Drosophila melanogaster: one gene and its partner. The protein of the gene in region 1 purifies or fractionates together with the protein of each later gene. This does not show direct contact. Each region holds a gene or a part of one and is shown on either strand. Other genes may lie near its edges.

What was found.
Region 2: the proteins of Pfdn2 (region 1) and Pfdn5 purify together in Drosophila melanogaster (affinity purification with western blotting; 2 studies listed by BioGRID, with this or other methods). This does not show direct contact.

What each region holds. Positions count from the first base shown.
Region 1 is NT_037436.4:11,072,681-11,075,959, forward strand, and holds Pfdn2 (prefoldin 2), read right to left. Parts: upstream 1,709-3,279; 5' UTR 1,567-1,708; coding exon 1,436-1,566; intron 1,332-1,435; coding exon 1,031-1,331; 3' UTR 612-1,030; downstream 1-611. Other genes in the region: Mocs1 (molybdenum cofactor synthesis 1), read left to right, coding at 1-477; Noc1 (nucleolar complex protein 1), read left to right, coding at 2,181-2,909, 2,975-3,089, 3,149-3,279. UniProt on the Drosophila melanogaster protein: Binds specifically to cytosolic chaperonin (c-CPN) and transfers target proteins to it. Binds to nascent polypeptide chain and promotes folding in an environment in which there are many competing pathways for nonnative proteins.
Region 2 is NT_033777.3:22,485,341-22,488,628, reverse strand, and holds Pfdn5 (prefoldin 5), read right to left. Parts: upstream 1,591-3,288; 5' UTR 1,336-1,590; coding exon 1,237-1,335; intron 1,120-1,236; coding exon 910-1,119; intron 849-909; coding exon 651-848; 3' UTR 548-650; downstream 1-547. Other genes in the region: CG5376 (uncharacterized protein), read left to right, coding at 1-418, 479-547. UniProt on the Drosophila melanogaster protein: Binds specifically to cytosolic chaperonin (c-CPN) and transfers target proteins to it. Binds to nascent polypeptide chain and promotes folding in an environment in which there are many competing pathways for nonnative proteins.

The DNA of each region.
Region 1 (3,279 bases):
GGCAAGGCCCAAATGGTGGATGTGGGCGCAAAACCTTCGACCACAAGATTAGCTCGTGCAGAGGCCACCGTTCAGGTGGGTGAGAAACTTACCCAACTTATAGCCGACAATCAAGTGGCCAAGGGAGATGTTCTAACCGTAGCCCAAATTGCTGGCATAATGGGCGCTAAGCGAACCGCCGAACTGATACCCCTGTGTCACAACATCAGCTTGTCCTCCGTGAAAGTGCAGGCCACTCTTCTGAAAACCGAACAATCTGTGCGGCTGGAGGCAACCGTTCGCTGCTCGGGCCAAACTGGAGTCGAGATGGAGGCACTAACTGCAGTTTCAGTGGCCGCTTTAACTGTGTACGACATGTGCAAGGCTGTTTCTCACGATATCTGCATCACAAATGTCCGCCTGCTAAGCAAATCCGGCGGAAAAAGGGACTTCCAGAGGGAGGAGCCGCAAAATGGGATAGTTACAGAAGTCGAATAAGTCGAATACCCGACTAACCGGATTAACCACGATACGGGGAATGGAAAATAAACTACTGCTTACTTGATTTAGCCACAAATATTAAATTAAAAGACTTATGAAGCAAGAATACATAAGTGTAAAAATGTAGATGAAATCACTTCCTTATAGGAAACTAATTTGACTAACATACCAATAAAATGTTTCAGAACAAATGGCATAAAAGGGATAAATAATCATATAGTTTATATAGTTTTTGTTTCCAGTCGGTGGATAGAGGTCCATCCATTTTCAGATCTTGAATGAATCACAAGACACATGACTAATTTCAATCGGAAGTTTAAGGTATCTTTAATTCGTGGCCAGAGTGGGTTAAGTTTAAATGAGGGGAATTGATGGATAGTGTTGGTGTGAAGGTGCGATTGGAGGCGTTTCGCGAACTGCGCCTTACAGCTAGAAGTACATACAACATTAGAAGTGTTCAATAAACGCGGATTATCGCTCGCAAATCCTGGCAGAGTTCCCTCTCAACATAGACACAATAAATACGGTGTGGTGAGGTAATCAATCGCTCTCAGTTGAACACCAGGACATTACGGTTCTCCGCCTTGTCCTCCGCATCGTCGCCCTTGGCTCCTTCGGCAACCAAGTGTTCGCCGCGAATCTTGATATTGTGCTCCTCCTTGAACTTGTTCAGCTCACTGCCCTTTTTGCTCAGGTCATTGGTGACCATTTGGATGGTCTTGGCGATGAAATCCTTGTTCTCCACCAGCTGTGGCAGCACCTCCTTCACGGTCCTTTCGCACAGCACACCACCAATTTGACGAAAGCATTTCCGTTCGGGATCCGCCGCCTCCAGAGTTTCTATCACAGTTCTAGGGAGGATAAGGAGTTATGTCATTGTGTCTGCAGGGATTCTCCCACTTGCCCAAAATCACAAACAGACGTGTCATCCATCTTTGGGCCCCCGGTGACTCACTTGTGTTCCCTCAAATCCATTTCGAGCGTATTTAAACTGTTGACCAAATTGCGCTGCTCATTGCGCAGCTGTTGGAACTGGGCCACAATGGCCTCCTGGCTGAGTGCCGGCTTCGCCGATTCGGTGCTCATTGCAATGTTCGCTATCCAAAAGGACCCCTTCGAAATCTAGACCGGGATAATCGCTTCAAATTGGCGATAATCTGCGATTTTCTTTCAAAATACGAGACCGAACACGAGGACTATGCGATAAACGTCCTAACAAATCCCAAGCGCGTCAAGGCAGTAAGACCGTAAATGTATTGTGGAAAAATGGTGTAACGGTAAAAGAAAATATAGCACAACTTCAGTTACTTAAACATAAGTTAATGTAATAATTTATAAATTAATAGTAATTCTATATAAGAATTTCAATTTTATTCTTACTTATAATCAGATTATAATAACTTCAAGCTTTATATAACTTCAAACCCACCTGCTATCAAAAGTCACGGTCATTTCAATGGTAATTACTGAATAATTTATAAATTTTAAAACTAAGTTGGATACTCTCTTATTTAAGATTTTAAATACAAAATTTTAATATCATAAAGACAATGAAATTCGTCACTAAGTAGACGACATACATATGTTGCTTACGTTTCGCGGTGAATGTCATATTTGAATACACGTGCGAGTTGTTTCTAACGCCGTTTATTTTATTTAATGATTTTTATCTAATATATAGCTTTAGAAAATATAAAATCATGCCGGCAGCAGTGGCCACAGGTGTGCAATTCGGTGGACCGCCCAAAAACAAGAAAATCGTGTTCGACGACTCCGGCGAGGCGGTAGTTAAACAAAACAAAAAGGAGCACCCACAAAGGCCAAAATTTGAAGGGAAGGAACAGGTGAAAAAGCCGCAGAAAATTAAGTTTGGAGAGGATGGAAAAGCGAAAGGTGCTAAGTCCTTTAATAAGAACCACCAAAAGCCGGATTTTGCCAACAAACCACAGAGAATAAAGTTCGGCGATGATGGAGAACAAGTAGCTTCCAAGTCGTTCAACCAAAATCATAAAAATGGACCAAAACCACAGAAAATCAAATTTGGAGAGGATAGAGAAGCAGTGCATCAAAAACCTTTCAACAAAAACAACCATAAACATAATGGTCAAAAGTCGGACTTCGCCAATAAACCTCAGAAAATCAAGTTCACTGATGATGGAGAAGATGAAGTAACTGCGAATTCTTCCAACACAAAGACGGAACCGACCAAGAAGTCCCAAAAAATCAAGTTTGGAGATGACGGAGAGTCCAAGGAGAACTTTAAAAAGCCCCAACGAATCAAGTTTGATGAGGATGGAGCTGGAAAAAATGTATCCGACAGCGATGGAGACAGTGATGAGGAACTGGGGGACTCCATTTCCAAAAAGCACAACAAATATCAGTCAAAAATAGATGAAGACGAGGAGTCCCAAAAGAAGTGGTATCATGTGGTATGTTGAAACTAAACTGAAATCGTGGAAATAAATCATTTATAGTTATCACTATCGTATCTTAGCATCCCGACTATCCGTCCACCGATGAGGTGCTGGACATGAAGGAGAACGATCAGCTGGAGCTGTACAATCTCTGCAAGAATTCCTTCGAAGCGGAGAAGATAACTTTTAATAAACGTAAGACTTTCTCGACTCGGAAATTGGAACCCCTACTAATGTTTTTATCTCATCTTTAGGTAATCCCTCGGATGCTCGCTGGTTGCAAACCGCTCTGCACAAGGGTACTGCAAAGGATCGGGCCAATGCGGGCGCCCTTCTGGTGACGAGCAATCCACTGGGCAATTTGGAAGCATTGAGCACTTTAATT
Region 2 (3,288 bases), on another chromosome or scaffold:
CAAGGCGGAAAATGAGCGTTTAAAGCGGAGAGTGGTCCAGTTGGAGCAGTCGCTCAAGCAGTCCGTCATGCTGGGCGGCACAGATGCTCCCAAATCACGACAAGAGCAGGAGGAGCTGCTTCTAAAGGCCAAAACCCTGCTGTTCGAGAAGACCAAGGTGAACAAACAGCAGGAGCAGCAGATATCAGTGCTTAGGACACAAGTAGACTCGATTAAGGATGTGCTGCAGGTGACCAAGGACATGTTGCAGCTAAAGACCGCCGAATGTGATCACACGCAGGCTCGTCTGGAGAAGAGCCAGCAGTGGATCAAGGCGGAGCAAGACAAGTGTGTGCTCACGGAGAAGAAACTAGCCATCTCCAAAGGAGTGTATGACAAGCTGCGTTCGGAGTACGACACCCAGTCACAGATATTCAAGGTGCCTTATAACTCGAGTCCAATGATATACTTGATATACTATTACCTTCTTTCCCTACAGGATCTTAAGTCCGCGTACGAGCAGAAGGTCAAGGTTCTCACCAAGGCTTTGGCAGAAGCCAAGAAATAGCTGAACAATTTAATAAACTACGTTAATTAAATGCACACATCTCGTTAATAAGTTTAATAATTTAATGCTTTCCGTGTCTCGTGTCTCTGTCGTTCTCCGTAGTCTAGGAGCTCTGGGTAACCGCCGGCTGCGATTGCTGCTGCGACTGCAATTTCGCTGCAGCAGCCTGCTTCATCTCCAGCACACTCATCACTGAGTTATAGAAGCGCGTCTTTTGCAGGTGGATCTTTTCGATTTTCTCGATCTGCTCCTGCACGTACTCCACGCGTCGCTTGAAGTAGTCTTTGGAGCCTTCCAGATCCTGTTTGAGAAACAGATGGCAATCAATAAATATTCTAGGTTCGATTGGAAATGTAAATCACCTTTTCAATGTAGTAGCCGGTGCCGATGTCTATGACGAACCTGTTGAGATCCTTGACCCGTCCTGGCACATACATACTGCTGGTCAGGGGCACCAGGATCTGACGGTTCTCCCAATTGGGTTGAAAGGTTCCCAGCGCCTCCTTGGATCCGGCGTACTTGGCTTGACAGCCGTGAAGCGTCGACAGCGAGTCCTGTACGTTGGTAATCTCCTAAGGATCACAAAAATGTACCGATTTTAGAAGCATGTGCCAATTGGGGCGCCCCTCCTCCAGAAACCCCCTCCGCGAGCACACTTGACTCATCACACACCCACATGCGGAACGCACCTGCTCGAACTCCTGCTTGATCTGAATCAGCTGTTCCGGACTCAACTTGGTCAGGTCGATCATCTCGGACTTGGCGGGTGCGCTTGGGGTGGCAGCCATTGCTAGTGCTTACACTTATAATTTACAATTCCACTTTTATTTTATTCAGTCGCCGTATAAGGTTGCCACCTTTGCGTATTCAACTCAACAGGGATGTCATGAAGCTGGGTCAGAAAATATCGATTTCACGGAAGCAATCGGGAATCGAATGATTCGTTGAAATAGTCGGTAGTCCAGTCCCGCCGACGATTTGTTATCGAGTACTAAGCGCGAAGTAAAAATTTAAAAAAAAAATCAGTGACTTCTGAATCTACAATATCTTTTGAGTTTAAAGACAGATCTTACTCAGCAAAAAAGCATTAACCAAACTTGTTTTTCAATTATAGTTTTATTGTATTTATTATATGCAATGTTATAATTCTGTGTTTTGTCAGTCATTCTGTATTTGTATGCGTTTTACAATTTTTGTTTTTGGTTTTCTCGTAAATTATAAAATCTAACACAAAACAAAGCAATTTCTTTAACAATCACTGCCGCTACATATACACGTTACAATTTGTTAAATATATATATATTTATATATATATAAGTAGGCACAGCTCAAGCGCCGCGCATCCAATACATGTTCATATACATATTCTCTGTTATATGTGGGGTGTTGTATGTCGGTTTTTATATATGTATAGATTAGATAACAATGATTTTAAGCCTAAGTAGAAGTAAGTTTTAGTTCCGATACTTGCGATCGTTCCCCTCTATATGCGCTCCCACTCGCAATCGCTGCTCCTCCGATCCTTGAACTATTAAGTTATATGCTTTAACTATGTTATTTTACCCATACAACTAACTGTACTCGTCCTTCGCGATCCTCCCACTATATCATACATACATAACATTTACCTTGATTTGGTTTTGATCTTAATAAAATGTAATTCGTTTTGAAACAATGAAGAAGATCTTGCTTTTGAGGGCGTGTCGATTCGATTTCTTAATCGCGGATATTTTAAGCTCCCCATCTGGATTTTGGATTCAATATCGTGTGCTCGCTGTTAAATCGCAAGGCAAATTTGTATAATTAGTTATATATAATTTGGTTTTCTCTTGAATCGAAACGAATAAACGTTAGTGGTTTACTTTAAATGCAGAGTTTTCATTGTGCAGCATTAACATTGTGAAGAGATAGAGAGAAAGTTGTCGGGAGAGAGTGTTACATTTATAAGTGGGAATGGTTTTGGTTATCAACAGCGTTAAAATTTGTGGTTTCTTTTCGTTTGGTTTCATTATCAAATCGAAGGGACGTAATTCGTAATAATAATCATTGATCGTTAAACATACTCGTACGTTATATGGTATGCATGTATGTATATTTTGTATAGATGTACATTTATAAATAGTATAGTTTGAATGTATGCGTGTATGTCCTGTATATATAGTTGTGTTTATGTACTGTACTGTACTGTATGTACTGTATGTACTGTGTTTCGCTATGTACTTGTAATTGTAATTGTCCTAGGTGTTCATTTCAGCTAGATTCGCTAGTTTGTCTCGTGTTTTCGCTTTCGCTTCCTTTTTGTATACAAGATAAGGGTTTAAAAAACTCGAAAATATATCAAAAGTTTCTTGAAATGCAGTATATATATGTTTTTTAGTTGTTAAATATATATATATATATTCATGTATATATAGTACTTTCCTAGGTATTTACAGCATACCTTGCCTTGGTTTCCATTAAGAATTCGAGAGAAGTATGTCCAGTAATTTCGCTAGTGATCGAATGCGTGAGTTGGTGATTGTGTGAGTGAGGTGAGTGTGCGTGTATTAGTAGTAGTATATCGAGTGTATATAGGTATTTTGTATATCTAATCCAAAATGATACACTAATTGGTATTGATAGTGAGACAAAAATTTTAATATAGCGCATCAAAATGATATATGCGATTATTAATATGTATACAGAATTTAATGGCGGCTTGCTGAATATCGAATTTCGCGTCTATGTATGTGTGCTTGTGT